Linked DNA regions of Tamandua tetradactyla. The protein of the gene in region 3 binds, or shares a complex with, the protein of the main gene of each other region. Links are inferred from orthologs where the notes say so. Each region holds a gene or a part of one and is shown on either strand. Other genes may lie near its edges.

The links.
Region 1: the proteins of S100B (region 3) and CAPZA1 are in contact, whole or in part, in an NMR structure (PDB 1MQ1), measured with the Homo sapiens proteins. The link is inferred for Tamandua tetradactyla from reciprocal best matches to the Homo sapiens genes S100B and CAPZA1. Residues at the interface, in NP_006263.1 of Homo sapiens: Glu46, Glu47, Lys49, Val53, Lys56, Val57, Thr60, Phe77, Met80, Val81, Ala84, Cys85, Glu87; in NP_006126.1 of Homo sapiens: Thr265, Arg266, Ile269, Asp270, Trp271, Asn272, Lys273, Ile274, Leu275.
Region 2: the proteins of S100B (region 3) and RPS6KA1 are in contact, whole or in part, in a crystal structure (PDB 5CSJ), measured with the Homo sapiens proteins. The link is inferred for Tamandua tetradactyla from reciprocal best matches to the Homo sapiens genes S100B and RPS6KA1. Residues at the interface, in NP_006263.1 of Homo sapiens: Ser42, His43, Phe44, Leu45, Glu46, Ile48, Val53, Val57, Ala84; in NP_002944.2 of Homo sapiens: Ala697, Met698, Ala699, Ala700, Thr701, Ser703.

What each region holds. Positions count from the first base shown.
Region 1 is NC_135337.1:9,448,322-9,456,087, forward strand, and holds the start of CAPZA1 (F-actin-capping protein subunit alpha-1), read right to left. Parts: upstream 3,014-7,766; 5' UTR 2,827-3,013; coding exon of another isoform or gene 2,712-2,826; 5' UTR 2,534-2,711; coding exon of another isoform or gene 2,533-2,533; 5' UTR 2,517-2,532; coding exon of another isoform or gene 2,516-2,516; 5' UTR 2,333-2,515; coding exon 2,294-2,332; exon of another isoform or gene 2,222-2,293; intron 1-2,221. Other genes in the region: ST7L (suppressor of tumorigenicity 7 protein-like), read left to right, coding at 3,039-3,246, 5,025-5,107. UniProt on the Homo sapiens protein: F-actin-capping proteins bind in a Ca(2+)-independent manner to the fast growing ends of actin filaments (barbed end) thereby blocking the exchange of subunits at these ends.
Region 2 is NC_135328.1:199,665,596-199,673,431, forward strand, and holds the start of RPS6KA1 (ribosomal protein S6 kinase alpha-1), read right to left. Parts: upstream 3,014-7,836; 5' UTR 2,948-3,013; coding exon 2,813-2,947; intron 2,023-2,812; coding exon 1,906-2,022; intron 1,637-1,905; coding exon 1,555-1,636; intron 1-1,554. UniProt on the Homo sapiens protein: Serine/threonine-protein kinase that acts downstream of ERK (MAPK1/ERK2 and MAPK3/ERK1) signaling and mediates mitogenic and stress-induced activation of the transcription factors CREB1, ETV1/ER81 and NR4A1/NUR77, regulates translation through RPS6 and EIF4B phosphorylation, and mediates cellular proliferation, survival, and differentiation by modulating mTOR signaling and repressing pro-apoptotic function of BAD and DAPK1.
Region 3 is NC_135336.1:109,048,896-109,056,517, forward strand, and holds the start of S100B (protein S100-B), read right to left. Parts: upstream 3,008-7,622; 5' UTR 2,799-3,007; intron 1-2,798. UniProt on the Homo sapiens protein: Small zinc- and- and calcium-binding protein that is highly expressed in astrocytes and constitutes one of the most abundant soluble proteins in brain.

The DNA of each region.
Region 1 (7,766 bases), on a different chromosome or scaffold from region 3:
GACAAAATATGTTGATTTTTAAAATCAATTTTTAATTGTGCCTTAGCTGGGAAAGTCAAACAGGCCAAAAATCCCATGTAAAGGTTACTTATTGTTCATGAATTCTAACACATTCATATAGACAAGACTTTACTGGAGATATACTTTCTAAATTGTGGAATTCAATCTGAAAGAAGAAAAGACAGAGCAGGTACGAAGTTGAAAGACAGCTAATTAATGAGATCTTACAAGTCAAAGCCCTTTCTTTTTACTTACAGATTCATAACAGATAATGGATCAGTTTCATCTCCATCTGGGAATAAGACTTAACAATGTCAAGTAACTCCATATCGATTTGCTATGTGAGATTTTTACCATAACATCTACTTTTAATTACTCACACTAATGAAGAGGTCATTAATGTAAAAACTGTTTATCGAATATAATACTTGTCAACTCTTTTTGAGAGTCGATTAACCTAATAATGATGTGCTAGTTTATGTTACTAAGTTAAAATTAAGCACAGAAGAACTATACTGGAAAATATGAGACTGGTTACAGATCTTACACAACAGAGACTATTAATATTAAGACTATTAATATTAAACACTATCAATATTCAAGGGCACCTTAATTTGTACTTTGAAAAATATATAATAAGTTTAATTTAAAAAGCATTCTAACCTAGCATCAAAGACAAAAACCCAACATTGGTCAATGAAATGTCATTTGGGCACAATAAACTTCAAAGTTTTATTGTTATCTAAATTCTTAGTGAAATTTTGTTGTAATACTTTTTTTTGCTTAAATAAGTGGGCCATAAGTTGGGGTTTTGTTATGCCTTGACTTTCACCATAATTTAATTTTATATGAATCATAACTATTTGTCTTAGAATAAACATTTTATTACAGTTTTTCTCCAGCCTAAATTCACATATACGATGCCTTTATTTTCCCCAAATTGTATTTAACATTTATGAGAATTTCCACATAAGAGAAAACTAATGCTAAAATGTTCAATGGCTTTTTTATGTTTAGCATATCTTTCAGCATTTCAAAATAGCATGCCATTAAGTAGGTATACCATTTTGTATGCGGGACTCTTGGATTAATAAACAGTACACCCATCCTATCCAAATCTCTTAAATAAAAAAATAAAGAGCCCAGGTACATTTACAGAGCATTCAAGGGTGCACACTTTGTAACTGGTGCTATGGGAAACAAAAAACATGAGTCTTGTCCTTTCCTGTGCACAATTCTGACAAATTATCTAATGAGTTACTTCTAATTTCTACAGGACCTAAAATCATGTATTTATTGAAAAGCCTGGTGAATTGTCAAGAAAGTTATGCAGCTTTCGGAAAAATTTATTCCATCTAACTAGAATATGCTTTTGTATTTAACACTTTTTAAAAATAAATACACAAATTACACATCGACAAATTCAACTATAATCAGATACCACAGTGAAACATCAGATAAAGAAGGTAGGATGCTCTGTGCAGACTTCAATGTAAGAACATGAGGTTTATATGCCAACGTAAAATCTTTCTGGCCTTTTACAAAGGTCCGCTGGCTATTCTTTAACAAAAACAGCTGAAACCGAAAACTATTTTTCAAAAATTATCTCTAAGAAGAAGTAAGACCTACTACATATATGCAACCAAAAGTACAGGAAACATAGTTGTTTAGATTCTGAAGCAAATGCCCTAAACCCTACACGTTTTATTACAAGGAATTAATAAAGCCGATAGTATATGAGAAAACATGGATATACAGTAAGGCGGACAACACATGGGGACATCTCTCTGTCGAAGAGTCGTGACAGCAAAATCACTTCCTGAGGAAGGAGGAGCAAAAGGGAAGTTAAGAGGCCACCCTGACCAGGAAGTGACTTGCCCTAAATTAGCCACAATCATATCTAATAATGGGGGGATGGGGAGAACCCTACTAGCCGAAGACAGTATAACAACCGCTTCTTGATTTGTCGCGACATCACCAATGCCTTTCCCATAATCACAAAAACGTGTCTACAGTCATGATTCAATAAGAGTGTCTACCCTCGCAGGGAGGCTACTGGGCTGTGCCTCAGGCCCAGGAGGGAAAGGAGAGCGTTGAGGAATGGGGAAATAGAGCCACCGTGAGGCAGAGGAAGACCCCTTGAGAAGGAAGCGTCCCAACTGCGTGGAGTTTATACCAGCACGGGCCAATAAACTTATATTACCTGAGGACACTTCCAGGGTTCCCAGCGCAGCCGGGTCGGGCCCCTGTTCCCTGAGAGAAAAAGAGACAGAAAGAGAGGCGGACCCCTTACCTTCTCCTCGTCCGACACCCGATCCTCGAAGTCGGCCATCTTGGGCTCCTCTGGCCCAACCCGTCCACCCGCGCGAGGCAGGCCGGGAAAAAAACCGAGCGATGGAATTACCGCGGGGGCCCAGCGAAGGACCCGCCCGGAAACGCCGACGGAGGGAGCGCCATGTTAGTTACGGGCGGAGGTGGTGGTTCCGAGCGCCAGTAGTACAGGAAGTCGTTTTTAAGTGAAATATTTTTCTGAGTTACATCCATTTTCTCATTCATTTCTTCGACGCTGGGGACGTGTTTGAACTGCTCTTGGGTTACGAGCTTTAAAGTCCATCCGACTAAATAGCAGTTATACTCCTGTAAAATTTCCCGGCACCAATGATCTCCGTTGCAGCCGAGTCCAAAGCGCTAAACGCTGCTCGGATCCTGGAATGATCGATGGCTTTTCCAACCCCAGGAATGGGGTGAAAGATCACCCTCACCTCTTATGTAGGCAAAAACACCACTCCGGGGTCACATCTCTGTCCAGTGATGTGGACAGAACAGGTGTCGCTATCCATCCCTTCCCCAACCCCCGAAGGAATTTGTAGCTTCAGTCTTAGGACATTCCTCCACCTTTCAAATCCGTCTCCGTTCTCTAGGACTCGACCTTCAAATAGGCCAGCTTCAGGTCCTCCACTATCCCAGGATTCCCGGCTCCTGGTTTCCTCCCCTTCTCCCCCGCCCCCCCAGCTCCCGGCGCCTGCGGAAACGGCAAGATGGCGGACGGTGACGGCTTGGGCCAAGTCGCTACTGCTGCAGCATCTCCTTCTGCATCTGCTCCGGGCCTGAGCTCGTCGCTGGGCTGGAAGGAGCGGCTGCGGGCCGGGCTGGCGGGAACTGGGGCCTCGCTGTGGTTCGTGGTGGGGTTGGGGCTTCTTTACGCTCTGAGGGTCCCGCTGAGGCTGTGTGAGAACTTGGCAGCGGGTGAGAGGCCCAGACCTCCCCAGGGACGGGCAGGGATTCAGAATAGGTGCCGGGGCGAGGGCCAAAGGGCAGAGATTCTCTGTAGTCACTGGAGGGCTTTGAAGAATGAGTGGATAATGCGTGGCTAGTGCATTCTTTTTCTCTTGAGCCGCAACCCCTCGCTGTGAAACCTAAGCTGAGCTCCTGGCTCCTCCCTAGAGCTCTTAGGATCCTCCCTCTCTCTTCCTTCCTGGTTTACCCGAGGAAAACCACCTGACATGCTGCAGGTGGTAATACAGAAGTGAGCCCTCTCAGACTGGATTACAGAATTCATATCCCACCGTTGATAGGATCCCCTCAAAATCATTCCATTGAGTCTCCTGTAACCCAGCTGAAAGCCCACATCCAAAAAACAGATGAACAGAGATCTCAAAGAACTCACATTCAGACAACAAAAACAAACAAAAAAAAGGCCATGGCCTTTTCATTGAACCATTCTCATGTTTTAGAATAGACCTGCCAAGAAATAGTTTTCGTGATATTTTTGTTGTAGGCTTTATCTTAAATAATGAAGCAATATGCAGAAAGTAAGTCATAAACAGCAGTTCATTAGTTCATGCAACGTTTGTAGAGGGCTTGTTAATGTAGTTTCGACCGAATATGGAAGACCCATAAGAAGTGATAATATCTGTGGATACTGTAGATAGTGTCCTTTAGCAGTACCACGGATAAAGTGGTTGGGGCCTTGGGCCTCTCACCGTATCATTGCAATTTTCCACTCGAGCTCTGAGAGCACCCCAGAACAATATGCAAATATTTCTGTTACGTGATATCTTTGCTTATCAATGCAGTAGTTTGTTTTTCTGTAATAAGAGAAGGCAGTTATCCCCTCTTCTATAAGATGACATGAAAGACTGAGATAATGTTATGAAATATTTTGTACTTTTTAGAAGGGAATTATGTAAATTCCGATGTAACTAACACACTAAAACCAGTTAAATAAACTGGCCTTCCTAGATTATTTGAAAGAGCTAATTGGTTGTTCTTTGTAGCAGGTGAATGAAATCCTTAATTCTGGTTGGTATCCTCTGAATGTTAATTATTGAGTTAATTCTTTTTCTTCATGTTAACTAGATATACCATAGAGATGAGAATATTTCATTATGATAGATTTTTATTTCTTCGTAAAGTCCGGTGTCCAAAAAAAATAATTTATGAGACAATTATTTGACATGAAGAATCTGGTTCTGGATTTCACAATGAGTCAGGGACAGAGAGCTCTCAGTTTATTGCTTTTCTCTTTGCGCTCTTTTGTCTCTCTGACATGCCAGGTATATACGCTATTTCCTACCCTCACTGTGCCAGAATTCTATCATTCTAATTTGAGACACTGTTTTGTGTCTCACCAAAATAAGTAGTTTTAAACCTCCTTTGTGAAAGGATGTTTGTTTAGCTTCTTGCCCTTATAGAGTAACAGAAGTTCCTGTCCATAATATGACCGATAAATTCTTAGTTTTATTCTCAGGAGCAAGCTCAAGAATCTCATTTTGATGGGCTGCTTATTTAACAAGTCAATAGTGTAAAATGTTACCCTTTATGGGTGCGAATTCATTTTTAAGATATACAGTGATGGGAATTTAAATGATCTTTTTTAAAAAATTACAACTTTCTCAAATGAATCTCATGCTAGATATTAATATTACTTCTGTCCCCCTAGCCATAAACTCACCTGCATATTTTTAATTTAAATACTTTGAATTTGCATTTTTTAAACTTTGGTTTCTTTTTTCTTTTGACAGTGACAGTATTTTTAAATTCACTGACACCCAAATTCTATGTGGCACTTACAGGGACGTCATCTTTAATATCAGGACTAATATTTGTAAGTAATTTCCATTTCCTTCATTCACATTTTGGTATTTATCCAAAGACTAAATCCCTTTGTATAGTTATGATAATTATAAATGCTTATAGCTCAGCATTTCCAAAATGTATTCAGCCTTTGGAAGAAAGTGCTACCTATTCAAATAAATTTGGGGAAAACTGCATCTTCCTCAGCACTCTTAGAAACTGTCAGTATTCATTTCTATATTAAAGGCTTTATTACATGCAGTACTGCAGGGGTGGCAGACAAAATGTCTGCAGAACCCTAGCTTGGTAACAAAAATAGGCAAGGTATAAGAATTATTCCTTATTTAATTTGAGGACTTAATAATCTGGCGAATGCATGCCCCTTCTAAAATAGGAATAAAAACTAATTGTTTCCATGTAGATTTGCATTCCACTATCCCCAGATCGTCCAGTTTTTCAAATGATTTTTTAAAAAATCTGGATATACGATTTTTATATAGAATCTCCCAGTATTTTAATGTTGACAACACTGAGCAGACTAAAAATTTACCTGCTCCTGAATTCAGCCTTTAGGCTGCCAGTTATGGTCTCTGGAGTATTTAAGACTAGGTTTTGAAGCCAGGCTGCCCATCACTTACTTGGTATGTATGTGACTTTGAGCAAGTTAATTAACTTTTTAAGCCTTAATTTGCTCATCTGTAATCATGGTTTCCATTTCATAGGCTGATGAGGACTAAATATGGTAATATGTGTAAAAGCTTGTAACATGACTGGCTCGGACTGAGCACTTAATGAATTTTGGCCATTATTTTTCTGAGAAGTTCACAATAAAGGAGCCAATTAAACCTTTCTTTTTTTTTTTTTTTTTTTACTTTTTATTTACTTTTCACATAGCTGTGCATTAATCATCACAATAGACTTTTTTCTTTTTTGTGAAAAATAACATACATACAAAAAAGCAATACATTTCAAAGCACATTGCAACAGTTAATTATAGAACAGATTTCAGAGTTTGGTATGGGTTATAATTCCACAAGTTTAGATTTGGAGACTAAAAGAAATATCAATATAATGATTCAGCAATCATACTCATTTGTTACCCTACCTTCTCTGTATAACTCCACCATCACCTTTGATCTTTCTCTCACTCTTGAGGGATGTTTGGGCTATGCCCATTCTAACTTTTTAATGTTGAAAGGATTGTCGAAAATATGGGATAAGGGAATGGACCTAGTTGATGCTCTGAAGAGGCTGGCCCCTCTGCATTTCAGGACTTATCAGTTCCAGGGATCCATCTGGAGGTTGTAGGTTTCTGGAAAGTTAGCCTTGTACATGGAGACTTTGAAGAATCTTACATAACATCTAGGTGTTCCGTAAGATTGGCAGGAATGATTTTGGTTGGGGTTTGGCAAGTTATGATAGGTAGCAGTGTCTAACTGAAGGTTGCATTAAGAGTACTCTCCAGTGTAGCCTCTCTATTTGAGCTCTCTCAGCCACTGATACCTTATTTGTTACACTTTTTTCCCATTTTGGTCAGGATAGCATTGTGGATCCCACGGTGCCAGGGTCAGGCTCATCCCTGGGAGTAATCACCCACGCTGCCAGGGAGACTTTCACCCCTGTGTATCATGTCCCTCATAGTGAGGAGAGCAGTGATGCCACTTGCAGCTGGGAAGCCAGTTTAACTGTAATTCAGTTTTTCCTTGTCCTATTTGACCAAGAGCTCATTTTTAATTAAATTTTAAAATTTTATTTTATAATTCCTATTAGCATCCCTAGTGTAAACTTTGGAAAAATACTGCTACAGATAAAAATCTTAAGCAGTTTTATGCTGCTTGGCCAATGAATTTTTCTGTCCTTTTTTCTCATCTCTAGGTGGTGCTCTTCAGCTGTAATAGAAATGATCGTATTTGTATTGCTGCTTTATATAGATATATTTAGTGATTAACTCTGCCCATTTTGTTTAAGTGAAAAGCTGGACAAAAAAGGGATTTTACTCTTGGCTTAAAAAAAAGACACTGTTCAGGAATTCCGGATAAAACTATTTGTTAATATAAGCCTTAATTTATTGATTTATAAAACCCAGTCATAATTAAGTATATTTTGCCAATAGCATATAAAAGTCTAAATGAAGAAAATAACTATCTTTAAATAGCTAATATAGTGCGAAAAGCTTTGGTCTTGGAACCGGAAGGGTTGGTGACCCTGCCTCTTAGTGTGATAACTTTGAATAAGTCACTTAAACTCTCTGAGTCCTAATTTCCCCTAAAACCATTTTAAAATTTTGTTTTTACTATTTTTAAAACAGATTTTAAGTGTACAAAAGTTAGGAAATTCAAATAACATCTTAAGGGTTAAACTGGTTCATTGCCTTTGAAATACCGATGGGTTTTTATTAATAAAGGTTATTGGGTTTGTAATTTATTTTGCCACCTAGGCTTATCAAACCTGTAAACACACATACACTGAAGTATGTTTCTGGGGCAGGTGGAGGCAGTTGGTTGATACAGTGGTTAGAAGTTCTGAAGTCAGACAAACCTGAATAAGAATCCCTGCTCTGCCACTTAAACCAGAGTTATTTAAACTTGGTGTGTATTTCCTCATCTGAAAAATGTGTTGTTAGGAGGCTTAAATGACATGATGCAAGTAAAGGACCTATCTCATAGAAAGCTTTTGATAGACATTAGCAA
Region 2 (7,836 bases), on a different chromosome or scaffold from region 3:
GAAAAGCCATGTTTTAATATAAATCCCATTTCATAAAGGTAGAATAATCCCTATTCAATACTGTATATTTGAAACTGTAATGAGATCATCTCCCTGGTTGATGTGATTTAGTCAAGAATGGTTGTTTAACTGGATTAGGGGATGACATGTCTCCACCCATTTGAGTGGGTCTTGATTGGCTTATTGGAGTCCTATAAAAGAGGAAACATTTTGGAGAGAGAGACTCAGAGAGAGCAGAGAATGCTGCAGCACCACGAAGTGGAGAGTCCATTGGAGATGAGGAAGGAAAATGCCTCCCGGGGAGCTTCACGAAATAGGAAGCCAGGAGAGAAAGCTAGCAGATGACGCCGTATTCGCCATGCGCCCTTCCAGCCGAGAGAGAAGCCCTGACTGTGTTCACCATGTGCCGTCTTACTTGAGAGAGAAACCCTGAACTTCATCGGCCTTCTTGAACCAAGGTATCTTTCCCTAGATGCCTTTGATTGGACATTTCTTTAGACTTGTTTTAATCAGGACATTTTCTAGGCCTTAGAACTGTAAACTTGCAACTTATTAAATTCCCCTTGTTAAAAGCCATTCCATTTCTGGTATATTGCATTCCAGCAGCTAGCAAACTAGAACAGATACCCATCCTGGTGTCACTGCACTGACCACACCTACCGCCTCACCCATCCCAGCCTGGGAGCTCTTCATGGACAGGGGCCAAGTCTTTTCATCTTTTTCTTTCCTCAGTGGCTCTCACCATCCCTCCTAGGGAATGAGTACCACCCTGACCAAATCTACCATCCCCCCACAGCCGGCCCTTCATGGGCCTCAGGACCCATAGTGTCCCAAAGGCCAACACCTCCTATTCCCCATCCCCCACCCCCACCAGCCAGGTGCAGGCTCTAACTTTATCTGGCCTGTGGCTGCACTGGTTCCCAGAACAATTAGAGACAATGTCCAGCCCAAAGCCTGCCACTAGTCATTTTTACATCCTTTGGAGGTCCCCAGCATTCTAAACCTTAGCTTGGGGCTCCCTTCTGAACCTCCTTGCCATACATCTCCATGGCCCTGCTTCAACCTCACCTTCTCTTGCCTGGCTCAGATGTTCCCCTGGGATTGTTGCCTCTTCTCTCACACCCTTTTCCACCTAGAGCCAGGAGACCAGAGAGGTCCCCCCTGGGCTCACATCATGAGGCAGCCCTGCTGACAGTTAGACCTCCCCTTCCCGACCAGCCTGATGCTAGATATCTGAGGTCCCCACCCCACTACAAACACACTGCATTTGTCCCTCTGCCTCCTTCCGGACAGTCACCTTCCATCCTGGTCATTGGCAGGTGGCTGCAGGAGGGGACGTGGTAATGCCATGGGATATTTTCTGCTGAACACGCCCTCCCTCCCCCATCATGTGTGTCCTGTGGGTGGCTGAATGCAGGCCTACATCTCCTCTCACAGACTGGGCACTCCTGAGGACAGAGCCACCTTCTCCATCAGACCTAAGGCCCTTGACGGATGGCTGTCTCCCTCAACCCTGGCCCCAGCCTAGGCTCACACGAGGAGCTACCCACTCACCTTTCAGTGTCGCCTTCTTTAGCACCTTCATGGCGTACAGGTGTCCACTGTCAGGCCGGGTGACCTTTCGTACCAGGAAGACCTGAGAAGGCAGTGGGGTCGGGGTGGAGGTTGATGGGGGCACCTGGGACCGTCAGACCCCACCCTCCAGGTTCCAAGTTGACCTCTAACTTTCCGGAGCCCCAAGCTGACCTTCTGCCCTCCCCCAGCACCATAGTGACCTTGCACCATGGTGACCTCTCACCCTGCCCCCAGATCCCTCAACCCTACCCCCGATTTCCTGAGTGACCCCTCACCCCCCACCTCTGACATAACCAGGGAATTCCTCCCAGCAGTGGGCTCAGAACTCACTTTGCCAAAGGATCCCTGGCCCAGCACCTTGAGGAGCTCAAATTGGGATGGGTCGGCCTTCTCAGAGCCAGCCTTGACGTGGTGAGTGATGGAGATCTCCTTGAGGACGCCCTCATCCTGATTGAGGGACAGAGCTGGTGAGCACAGAGAGCCCACGCAGGGGCCCCCCCAAGTCTGGGACCATTCCCGCTGGACCTCAGTAGACAGCGTCCTGCAGGTCTGGCCAGGACACTACCCCAACTGCCTCTGAGTTTACCAACCCCAAAAGGGCTTCAGAGACCTGGAAGGGTCAAACCACCAAGGTGTGGGTCAGGCGACAAGGATGCTGGCACAACCAGGAAGGAATTCCCCCCAACCGCAAGCTCTGGCTAAAGCCCTGAGACCTCCAGGTCGTCCCTGAAGGGCTTCCCTTCCCCTGCTGCAAACGTTTTTGGTTTTGCTACAATAGGAAGTAGGGTTTATTCTCATACTGGGTAGGTGGAGTTGGACCTTTGTTCCTGGTCAGGATGAGATGGAGTGAATCCCTCTGGCCAACAGGACAAGGCCGAGGTACACAGAGAGCTGAGTCACCTGGGACTTCCCTACCTACCCAGTAAGCACCAGCCTCGGGTGGGTGGGAGTTAAGACCAGAAATGCCATGCCCACCCTTTCAAACTTCCCTTCAATGAGCCAATTGCCAGGCCCTGGCTGTTCTAGGAAGCTTCTGCTGTCTCCCAGTTTTCTGGTGTCTCTAGAGCTCTGAAGGCCTCTTTACTTCCCTGGGAAGCAAGTCTAGGCAGGGTCCAGTCACCCACGGGGCCAGGCTGGGACCAAGAGAGCCCAAAGACAACTTAGGCCAAATTGGCTGCCCAGGCACCTGCTCCAAGGGCCACAGCCAGGCCAGGACCAGATATCCGGGTACACTCACCGAGTCCTGCTGGGGGCCAGAGCCAAGGCCCGAGGCAGGCAGAGAGGTTTGGCTGATCCTGGGCCGCTGCTTCCTGGGCAGCCAGGGGAGCAGGGCCCAGAGCCGCAGACGGGGCAGCTTGGGATCCTGCTCCATCTGGCCAGCAGGGCCGCGGCACCATGGCAGGAGCAGGCAGCGTCCCGGGCTGCCTCGGAGGCGGCCCGGCCCAGGGCGGATGTGCAGGGTGATGGCGGGGGCTGGGCCTGGCCCAGGACCGCCAATCATTCAAGGTCTGTGGTTTCCCAGCTCCAGGCTTACACCCTCACCACGTTCCCTTCCTCTCTTTTGCCCTCACCCCAAAGCCTGAGGGCTGCCCTCAGGCCCTCCCTGCCCCAGCCTCCCTGGGGGCCTCATGCCAACATAGTTGCTGAGAAGCAGGTAAGTACTCTGGGTTAGGCAGGGACAGGCACCTAACATATGAAGGCAGATAAAAAAAAGACATCCAAAGGGCAGAGGCAGGCATCCAAGAGGTAGAGACAGAAAAAAACAAGCACCCTACAGGCAGAGGCAGGAGGAAACATACCCAAGAGGCAGAGATGGGCAGAGGCATGTTCTCAATGGCAGAGGCAGATGAGGACATGTACGTAACAGGTGGAGGCAGGAGGGGACATGTATGCAACAGGCAGAGATGAATGGGGACACGTATCTAATAGGCAAGGCAGGAGGGTACATGTACGCAACAGGTAGAGACAGAAGGGGGTACCAACCCAACAGGCAGAGACAGACAGGTGTGGGTCACCTAGTGGATGACATGTACCCAACAAGTGAAGACAGGAAGGCACTCAGCAGGTAGACACAGAGACAGGTAGACACAGAGACAGGTAGCAGGGCGAGGATCCCCAGGAAAGGGGGCGTCAGAGCTCCAAGACAGAGCTCTGGATTCTTTCAGTCTGCCTGGGGTGGAGGAAGGGATGAGGGGACATAACCTGCAAATCCCAAGAACCCAGGAGAGGAACCCGGTATTTGTGGCAGACCCATCTCTGAGGTCCCTAGGACCTTCTTCCCACCCCAGGACCTGAGGGGTCCAGGACTAAGATGGTGGGCTGAGGGGTCATCTCCAGAGCGCACTCTGATGGCTTTGACTCTAATCCAAAATATCCCCATTTTGAGAACAGGAAACTGAGGCCCAGAGAAGGACAGTGACTCACCCAGGCTCAAAGCAAGCCAGTGGCAGAGCCAGCTAAACCCAAGTCCCTCCCCTGGTTGCTGCCTGGCCTGGGATCAGCAGGCCTCAAGTGCCAGGAAAGGGTGGGCAGGTAAGGCAGCCAGAGCCACTTCCTCCCCACCGAGGCCTGCCCCCTCCCTCAGCATCAGGGTCAGTCTGGGGACTTCCCACTCTAGGCCTTGACCCTCAGAGACAGTCCCATCCCCAGGGGACCCTCCCTGAAAGAAGGGGGAGTGGTGTAACAGCCATAAAAAGCTGCAGGCAAATCAGGCTTGAGTACAAACCCCTGGTGGGATAGGCCGAAAGCCTGGCCCAGAGAGAGGCGGGGGGCGGCCAAGACCACACAGCCATTTCTGCCCACCCTGCCCTGAGAACTGCGCCTCTACCTCATCCGTCAGCTGTCTCTGACCGAGAATGCTCCCAGGGGACAGAGGCAACTATCGGGAAACCCCAGGACACAGAGACACCCCATCCTCCAAACCCTTGCCCTTGCCCAGAGTAATGGTGACACATCACGAGACGCAGGCCTTCTCTCTGCTCACCTTCCTGGGACAGAAGACCAAGTCTCCCCCAACCCTGGGGAAATCTGCCGTGGTCTGCATGGTGGGGCTCAAGCCGGTGGCCAGAGGGCCTTGTTACTCCCTTTACTTCTGCTTTTTCAGTCTTCCCAGCCCAGAAGGCAGGGTCCTTGGCCCCCCTCCTTCTCACTTCCCCCTCCGCAGGGAGGAGGGACAGAAGATGGGTCAGGCTCCCCTGCTGAGGAGGGGTTACCACAGACCCCAAGCCCGTTACCCCAGGGAGGACTGGGTGTGCGCCCCTCCCCATCTCCTCTAACCCTAGGGAGGGGACACAGGAATACAGATGGAGGTCATGCGGCAATGAGGTGGTGACACAGGGGGGCATCCCAGCACCCGGGAACACCCACCTGGAGGGGCCCTGAGGAAGGGGAGACAGAAGTCAGCAAAGCCATAGCCTCTGACTGCCCAGCCCAGAGCTTAGACGGTCCAGCTCAAGACACTCCTGCCCCCACAGCGCCCTTCCTGTGGCTGGGCCCACCCAAGATGCCAGCCTCACAGCCGGCACCACAGGACGCAGCCCTCCCCGGCTCCAGGGCTCTGCGTTCTCAGCCCTGCCCTGAAGAGGCTTGCTGCTCCAGGGCCCAGAGATGCAAGGGGGACAGCCCGACACAAAGGACAGGATAGAGGGGCAAGGGGCTGTGGGGCAGAGCCAGACCAGGCCCAGCCCCTTTCCATGTGGCCTCATCTTATCACTCACACCAGTGCACCCACAGGAACTGACAGGCACACAACCACACACTCAGGCCGGTGATCGGAAACCATTTCCACAGACTTGGCCTATGTGGAAATACACGCCTGCAGTGCCCACGGACTTCCCCTTCCCTGCCCTCACGGGGTCTCCGATAACAGCCTCCGATGGGCGATGCCAGGCGTTCTGAAATGCCTCCCTGAATCCGAGGCTTCTCACTGCACCCCAGCTTCCTCAGGCTCCCCCCATGGAGACCGGGACAGCCCTGGGAACCTCAAAGCTCTCTGGCCCAGCAGCAGAAGAGGGGCCGGTGTCAGCGGGGCATCCACCACCCCCATTCCCCCCGAAGCAGAGGAAGAACCGCTGCGGCCGGCAGGGCACAGGAAGGAAACAGTCTCAGAACGGCCTGCACAGAAGGGCATGCGGAGGGGCTGGGAGGCCTCTAGCGGCAGGAGGACAGGCACCAGCCCACATCCCCTCGGTCCCTGCCCTTCGCTCCCCACCAGAGACACTTCCTCTTGATTTACTTCCTCCCACATGGCAGCTGGAAGAGAGATCCAGAGCACTCTAGCCTGACCCTTGGTTCCCTGATTTCCAGCCCTGGCCTCCCTCCTCCAGCTGCCGCCCAAGCCCACCTGCTAGTCCCAGTGCGTAATGGACACCACTAGCCTTTTGCCCAGCTGGCAGCATCTGCGGGCCTACCAGGCACTAAACCCCTCTGGTGGGACAGATGCCCCCAGACGCAATTCCCAGCATGCCTCTGGGCAGGTGAGGAGGGAGGCTGCCATTCTCAGGCATCCCTGAAGGCAGAGCTGGCCTCAGGCACCAGGCCAGGACCTGCACGAGTGACAATGAGAACTGCACCTCCTATTAGCCAAGCGTGTTTTGCATGCGGCCATTCTTTTTTTCAACCTTTGCCAGTGGGGATTCTGCTGTTCCTGTACTCGGCACTGGGGCTGGGGCTGGGGCTAAGATCCTGTGTCTTGGCTCCAAGGGAGGTACTGTCATCTCATTTCAAAGATGAAGAAACTAGACTCAAAGAGAAAGTGACCTGCCCAAGGCTACATGGCTAGAAAGAGGTGGAGCCAAGGGCAAAATCGAAGTATAAAGACCCTGCTTTTAAGCATTCCCTCACTGTCCTTCCCGCAAGGGCAACCAGCCTGGTTCTCCTCCGGACATCATTCGCAGTGACTGATCCCCTCCTCTCCCTGGCCAAGAGGTGCGGAAGCTAAGGCAGACCCTGGTCTTGCCCTCATACACATGATAATAAAATACAACTGTCCTGCGACAGAACTGAGAGCAGGTGCTGTGGGTGCCTGGCAGTGGCAACTCAAAGCTGGGTTCTGCAGATGAGCAGACATTGGCCAGGCCGAAAGGAGGAAGGAAGACATACAGGCAGAGAGCCAGGTGTGGGCAAGAGTTTGGAGGCCAAGAGTAGAGGTGGGAAGTCAAGAAGAACTGGCCACACACTGGTCAAGTGCTCCCAGGCCACGGTCTTTCCCTGCCTGAGCTCTGATTTCCTTCTCTATAAAATGGAGGTAAAAATGGCATGCGCTACTCTCAGAAAGTTGTTTCTAGAAGCAAACTGGGCCATGGAGACAAAGGGACATTGTAAACAGAACTTCTCCTTGGTTTAGCTGGGCAGTCTTACCATGGTCAGAGGCCAGCCCCAGGGCCCCAGGTGCAGGGAGGGTGGGCCAGGGGAAGTCCTCCCCCAACACCTGAGGCTGCCCAAGGTTCCCCGAAGTCCGTGGTCACATCCTGCCTGAGCTCCAGCCAGGGGAGCATGAGGGATCCGGGAGGGATCAGGGTTTCATAAACAGGAAGAGAGGAGGGGAGGGGGTTGACACTCAGCTCTCAAAATAGACCTGCAGGCGCTTCAAAGGGGTCCAGCTCCGGAGGCAGCCAGGGGAGGGGGCCTGGGTTGCCCAGTCCACCCCCAGGAAGGGAGGGTGGGTGAATGGAGTCCCAGGGTGCCTGAGGATTCCAAATGCACCCAGAGTGCTGAAGGGATCCAGCGGAGCTCACCCTGAACCCGCTGTATACACTGTTGCCCCTAAAACCCCAATATCCCTTTCTGCCTGAAATGAACACAAATAAACAAGCGTTAAGGACCTGTATTGTGCCACAAACTTTGTTGGTTGCTTTATTTTAAACACATCACATTTTGGGCTCTATTCTCCTTCGACAGGAAAAGAATCTCAGCCTCAGAGGGGCAAGTCATTTGCTCAAGGTTGCAAGGCAAATGAGAAACAGGGTTTTGAACTCAGAATGCCTGAATGCTGAGTCCCAGCCCCTGCCATTTCTCCAGCCAGGAGGCCCGATTTCCTTCTCTAACTGCCCAAATCCCACCTGCCCTGTGAGGGCCAACCAAATGCCCATTCTGCAGGGACGGTGGCCTGGTGCCCCACAGCCCACCCAAGTCCTCCTCCCCTGCTGTGCACAGCAGTGACCATCTGTTTGGCCCATGCTGGGCCCTGGGCTCAGATGCTACTCGCTGGGTCCCCGGGACTCGCTCATCTCATCATGCCACAGAGAGAAACGTGGGCTCCTG
Region 3 (7,622 bases):
TCAGAAATATATAGAAAGAATAATTCAGATGCATTAAAAATATTTAACATTTTGTACTTAACTATTCTTTATAAGACCCAGGTTTTCAATAACTGATCTTTTTAAAGAAAACAAAAAACCCACATTTTCATTATCCTAATGTTTTTAGAATCCATGATGATTTGGAGAAGGGGATAAGTAATTTTTCTGTAAAGTATGAATAGTGAGATTTTTGAAAAGGAAACGGTGTTCCGAGAGATGAGCCAGGACCCGGCATCGTGGGATTGAGGAAGTTTTCTGGACCAAAGGGGGAAGAGAGAAATAAAACAAAATAAAGTTTCAGTGGCTGAGAGATCTCAAACAGAGTTGAGAGGTTATTCTTCCCTATTATATAGATACCCCTTTTTAGTTTATGGTGTATTGGAGTGGCTGGAGGGAAGTACTTGAAACTGTTGCTCTGTGTTCCAGTAGCTTGATTCTTAAAGACAATTGTATAACAATGCATCTTTTACAATGTGACCATGTAATTGTGAAAACCTTGTGTCTTATGCTCCTTTTATCCAGGGTATGGACAGATGAATAAAAAATTAAGGATAAATACAAGGGGGGAATAAAGGGTGAAAAATTGCACAGATTGAAATACTACTGGTCAATGAGAGGGAGGGGTAAGGGGTATGGAATGTATGAGTTTTTTCTTCTAATATCTTCTTCTGTAGTGATGCAAATGTACTAAAAGTGATCATGGTGAAGAACACACAACTGTGTGGTGACACAGTGAGCCTGATTGTGTAATATGGTTGGACTGTATGTGGGTATTTCTCAATAAAATGTAAGTGAAATACAGATAATAGGTAGAGCAAGATCCCAGAGAAACTGAGACAGCATGGACTCGTGAGCACACATGGAGCGATTAATCAGAGGTGGTAAAGATTTCTTTCTCTGAAATGGGTAAGAGGTGAGTAAAAGTAAAGATGCAGAGAAATATTAAGATATAGAGAAAGGAAATTGAAAGACTGAAGAATTGGATGGCTTTGATCTTCTCAGTAAAATGAGAGAAGAAAGAAGTTAGCTGCTACGAGTTGGTGATTGGGGCATAGGGTCGGTTTGGAAATTTGAGAATGGAAAATGACTGGAGCAGCTGCTGTAAGGAATGCATATAAAGTTAAGAGGAGACAGCTAAAAGGATTACTCAGTAGCCGTGAAAATCCAGTTGAGGTTAGAGAGTATGAATTTGTAACAAAGCCAATCAGTACGGTTTCTGGACTTTCTCCAGTTATGCTGTAGCCTCTGAAGTCATCTAGTCATCATCTTGGTGAGAGTTTCCTTAGAGTGTCTTCAGAGACATCCCAGTATTCAAAAACTTTAGGAAAAAAATTATTTCTTAAGGGGATTAGTGCTCAGGAGTACCAGGGAACAGATTTCCTTGTGGATACTTCCATCTGTGGGTCCTTTTTGGGGAGAATCATCAGGAATGAAAAAGAAACAGACTTAAGAGAAGCAAAGCAGTTCGGTATATCAAGAAGAGCTTTAACTTCTTCGTTTTTGAGACATAAATCTGAGGTGGGAGCATGTTTGAGAGCATCTGGATGAGACAGAAGAGCAGAAGAGAATGACATCAGTGCAGTTCCACTGTAGACTGCCTCGCCAGGCAGAGGAAATAGATAAACCCTTCCTGATACATATTACAAAACTGGGCTGGATTTGGAGAGTGTGGTAATTTCAGCCATCAAGACATAAGCTCAAAGCGAAAAAGCAGGACACTTGGTAAGTTATTTCTCTTTTTCCTGTTTATGTTTTTCTCATCATCAAAGAAACACATGCTTTGCAGAAGATACAGAAGTAAAGTGCAATAGAGAAGAAACAACCCATAAGCTTACCACCCATATAACCTCACCATGAAAATACTTGATAATTATTTCTAGTCTTCTTATGCATTGTTGTTTTTACATAGCAGAGATTATGCTAAGTATAGATTTGTATAACCTGCTAGGTTTTTTTGTTTTGTTTCAAATTTAAGCCTTTTCTCATGTCATTAAAAACCCGCATAGTGGGGGACAAATGATGATTTTAAGAGGAATTGAAATTATGTATCTATGTTTCCTTCTCACTCCATTTTATGAATGTTCTGCATTAATCTTTTCATATTAGAAAAGAGAAGTTTTGGAGTTCAGCTGTTCTGAGAGGCACAGTTATATAGTCCGTCTGGTGTGGGGGTCTTCAGGAGCAGCTCTCCTCCTGGAGGAATTGCAACACTGCACAGAGTGAAACCCCACCATAGACCCTCCTTTCTTTGATCCTGTTCATAATTTATTTGCAAAGTGTTTCTCCGTTGTCATGTAGTTTCTGGCATTTCAAATGGATGGAAACCAGAAAACCAAGAAGCAACTTCCTACCCCAGGCTCTGAAAGTAGTGACCAGGAGGCGGGAGATGAATCGATTATGGTGCGAGGCTCCGTGCTTCTCAGTCCCAGAGGGAAGAAAAGCCCTGCACCTCGAAGAGTTAAAGAAGCAGCAGCATTTGTAGTTCCTCTGGGAAGATATCACCAGTCACTTAGAGTCATTAAACTGGAGATTTCTCTGATTTGCAGTCTTAGAGCACAGGCAGCAAGCCCTCCTGCAGTCTAGCGTGGATGTCATCAGATGTCCACAAAGCAGTAATAAGCTCGACTGCAGAGTTCAGATTAAAACCTGGAGGGCCAGTGACACGTTTACAGCTCTGCCGGTTATCCTAAGGGGCCTCCTAGCCACCACCCAGCCCCCTGCTCCCAGCTCGCACCCCTGCTCCCATCTCCTCTGGGGCTGCCTACTCCTGTTCTCACCTCCTGCTGCTGTCGTCGGGCTGCGGGTGTTCTGAGCGACAGGCGCGCTGGGGACGGGAGCCTCCCTCTCTCCTTCCTTCTCCCAGGCTGAAGAGCTGCGGCCCCCTTGCAGTCCCACTGCAGGCAGCGGCAGCCAATGGGGCCACAGGCAGGGCGGGGGCGGGGAGCTGACCAGTGCACACTGGGCTGCGTGGACCAAGCGCATGCCCTGAACCCGGGCAAAGCAGGAAAAGACCTGGGGGCAGGAAGTGGGGAGTCAGCGTTCGTGCTTTTTATTTATTACATGAATATCGATGTTCCTCTAAAGCCAGGGTGGGGAGTGGAGAGAGAGCTGGATTAATGGATTCAGACAAAGCAAATGTACAGCCAAGTGCAAGAAGCTTCCAAGCACGGGCCGTGTGCAGGAGATAAAGTGGTTCATGGGCTAGTTTCCAATGGTGAGGACCACTGAGTTCCTGTCATCTCCGCCAGCTTCCCAGGCCAGCTTGCCTGGCTTCCGCTTGCCTGCAAGGCCCCGTGGAACTTGGTTCTGGAAGGGGCAGCTGCCCTGGCTGTGTGGTATAACAGACACTCGATAGTTTTAAGGAAAACCCTTGTTTTATATAGTTGAAGACACATCAGTTGCACCCCAAGGTCGCTCCCTTTACCCTGGGGTGAAAGGTCACAGCTTGCCAGAGTTGGGTGGTGCCTGGGAAATGCCCTGTCCAAATACTCTGTTTTGAAGACGAGGCCCAGGGAAAGTGAAGGCCAAGCCCCCTGTCTCCCTTCAGCTCACGCCTATTTCCAGCTGCACCGACCTGAGCCTCCAAGAGGAGGCTTTGATCTGATGAGACATCCCAAAGATGCACAGAAATGGTAATGGAAAATGTGCAGATCAGCAAAGTATTTTAGAATTGATGCTTCAGAAGTTATTTGTCGGTCTGAGCATAGCCTTTGTAACCAGCGAGACCTCCCTGTTCACCACCAGCCAGCCCATAGGTCTTCCCTTCCTTAACAGAGAAACAAGGGAGCCAGCATCCCCGGCTTGATCTGAGGCTAAGGCAGACCTATCCTGGTGAGGAGGCCAGCCTTGGCTTTGCTTATCTGGTGTAAATTTCCCTTTGTCCCTCACTTTCAGCTCAGTAAGTGTGTGGAGCTAAACAACAAGGGCAGGTGTGCCTCTCTGTTCCACACTTGCCCTTCAGTGCCTGCTGTGGTGCCGGGAGGACCCTGCCAGCATTTCTACCTGCCAGTGGCTGCTGGCAGGACATGACTGGGGATGGGATGCCATCCTCTGCTTCTCCCCCTGGGCTGGGCTGTTGTACTTCTGCTTCTGTCCCTGGCCTGCTCCATGTTGGCCCATCATGCTGATGTGTGAGGTCATCTGGTCTGCTCTACCCCAGCCCTAGGCCTGGTGGCCACCGCCCTGTGGCTTTCCTACGGCAACGCTGTGAACAGCTCACATCCATGGGGCATCGCCAGCCCCCGCCACATACACACACACACCTGCCGACCAACCTTGACTCACCTGAGCATCAGAGACTCCCTGATGTGGACACCACTTGCTCCCGACATCATGCCTGTAGATATGCCACAGCTCCCTCTGCAAACCTGTCTACCAGCCTCAGTTCACCTGAAGGCCAGAGAGTTTTCCTGCTCACCAGCGACTAGACCAGCTCTGGCACAGGAAAATTCTCTGCCCATCTGGGGGGCTGGAGTTACACCTTCCCCATCAAGGTCTGAATCCAAGCTTGGGGAGGGAGGAGATGCTCTTCCAGGTTTACCCCTCCCTGAGTGCTCGCCTTCAGCCCTAGGTCCCCCTTTAGAATTCTCTTCACATATTTATAGTCACTCTCCTATCATAGTTTAATAATTCTTTTTATTTACCCTGCCCTATGTAAATCCTGTGTAGTTTCTGTCTCCTGTCTGAACTGGAACTGACACAGAATTGATCTTAAAGTGGTCTCAGGAGATAGTCCAAAATCACGAAATTTAGGGAATGGTTGGCTTCTTGCTAACAGACACCTGGATGCCAGCACACCATGGTGCTGACAGACAACTCACTGAGTTGTGCCTTGTGGGTCCTGGTGAGGTACCGATGGAAGCACATGCCAGGGGAGCCCAGGTGCTGCTCTCCTTGGCCATTATGGAAGTAAAGGACTGTGGTATGGAATGGAGTTTTTCAGGGCACTTGGGTGCTTGCAGAGGGAACATGACAAGCTCAAGATGCAGTCTCGGAACCAGGAAGCACCATGCCATCCCTACGCAGGGCTGATACTGCTGAAAAACCAAACAGAAAATCTAATTATAAAATAGAAGAAAAAAAACAACAGCAACAAAAAAAAGAGAGAGAGAGAGAAAAAATCTAATTACAGGTGGGCCACGGTGGCTCAGTGGCAGAGTTCTCGCCTGCCATGCCGGAGACCTGGGTTTGATTCCCGGTGCCTGCCCATGAAAAATAAATAAATAAAACATATAGTTATATGAGTTGCTAAATTACATTTTCTCATGTGAAAATGAGGGCATTGATTGGGAAAGAATAGGATTTTGACACTTGGGATGGGCGCATCTTGTACTTAGATGAAACTGAAAATCTTGACCTCCCCAAAGTCATCCTGAGACTCCCTTACCATTGGAAGTAGGTTTCCCTCTGGTGTCTGAGTAGACCAGCCTTTCTCTGCCTGACATCCCCGTGATGACCTCGCCTGGGGTGCCTGGAAAGGGGTTACTCACACACTTCAAGAGAACAGCCACCACCTGCTATCCCTAGAGCCATTGCTAGGGTGAATCTTACCATGTTCCAGGAGCAGTACATACTGTGATCCAGGAAGCAACCACTTACACACCAGAATAATTGGGGAACATGTATAGGACTGAGTTCCGAGTGCTACTATGCTAAGGAGGGTGGACTATATCACTGTCTAGGACTAAATTCATTGACATGGGAACACTTGCTAGAGATTCCAGATTAGATGTGCTAGCTCGTGCAGCCGGAGCAGACTCTAGCAGTTCCTTTGGTTGGCTGACTGAAATGTAGGGACATCTGTAGTAAGCCTTCCTGAACATTCTGTACTCCTTAATCGTCGATTGCCCAATCTCTGTCCTCGTTCTTCCCTTGATAATCTGTGCTGTCGAATTCAATTTTCAGAGTTTCCTCATTATAGTTAGCCCATGTTTGTGAGGACTGACAGCATTTGTCCCCTCATTTTTTACTTATTTCACTCCACATAATTCCTCAAGGCTCCGTTACCTAGCTGCCTGTCTCCTGACCTCAGTCCTTCTTGTCACCCATTGTATGTCTACGCCACAGTGTGCCCTTCCCTCGTCCATTGCTGTACTCTTTATTGTGACAGGGCCCCCTCTGTAAGAGGCTGAGATCTGTGGTTGTCGTGGCCACCTTGTGTCCATCATGACCGCGGCCCAGACTGCAGGCCCCCCTTGGACCATGTTCTTTCACTCCATTCCGGGTGGGGCAGGCCTGGTATAGCTGGGCTTTTTGTTAGGTTGTTTCAATTGAGATATGAGCCACCCATACAAGGTGCTTCTTAATCCTTTATTGAAGCTGAGAAGTAAAATTAAGAGATGCTCACAGTTAAAGCCCCAGAGAGGCTGCGAGTCAAGGGCACACCCGGAGATGGGTGACTGAGAGGAGGCCAGTGCAGCCAGGGCCTGGGAGCCACCAACCTGGGAGAGAAGGACCTACAGATGCCCTGTGTATCGTCAGCAGCCCATCTTCGTCCTGTTGTTGCCTTTGTTCGGATATTTTTAGGGCCTTAGAATTGTAATTTCTCAGGTAATAAATCCCCATTGTTAAAAGCCAGTCCATTTTTTAATATATTGCATTTCATCAGCTTCAACAAGCTGAAACAACGAGCATGATGTTAAGCTTTGCTGGTAGAGGGTGTTGGAAGAACATTGCGGGAGGAAGAGGACTTGGGGTTCTGGGGTAGTGTGTTTTGCTTTGTCTGCCTCGCAGCTCTTCAGCAGTGCCTTGTCTGGGTGCAGCCAGTGCTCTGCCCCAGCCCCATGCCCAGAGAGGGCAGCACTTGGTGGCCTGACAGACTGACCTTGGCCTGATGACCACCTTGGTCTGCCTCCCCTGATGTGGACACTGTGTGCTCCAAAATTTGCACATTCATCAACTCCCCAACTCCTTTTGCACATCCACCCAACCTTGACTTGCATGTGTGGGAAGGCTTTTCCCACAGCAACCTGGTGTGGTACCTGCATTGCTCATGCACACACCTTCAGTGTGACCCCGACTCCCGCTGTGTGCCCTGGGACCAGCTGTGGAGCCTCTGGAGCAAAGGGTCTGAAATTTTACCCTCCCTGCATGCTGACAGGGTAGCAGTTATGATGTCAGCCATAGACATGAGACTCGTGAATTGGACGCAGAGGGTTTTATTACTGAAAAGTGGTAGCCATCACTTCATGTTCCTGCAGGTTGTCCTTTGCCCCCGAGTGCATGGTCAGGTGCCCTGTGCCCAGTACAGTGGCTGCTTTCCAGCACAGGAGCACCGATTTCAGGGAATTCCCTGCATCCAGAGTGAAGCCCACTGTAGGTCCTCATTGGTTATGGTTGCTCACTGTGAATACAGCCCCAACACGTGGCCTGGGTGGCATGCAGGGACAGTTTTGTGTGTCGTGGACCACATCCCAACAGCATCCGTCCCGCTTGCCCACTGGCTGTCCAGCGTTGGCCCTCTCCCTCAGCCCTCAGGCACCCTTTAGGTTTCTCTTTACTTCTTTGTGGTTGCTGTTAAAGCGTAGTTTTATAATTCCTTATTTTTAACCTTCTCCTGTTTAAATTACGATGTCCTGACTGCACCCAGACTGATGTACTAG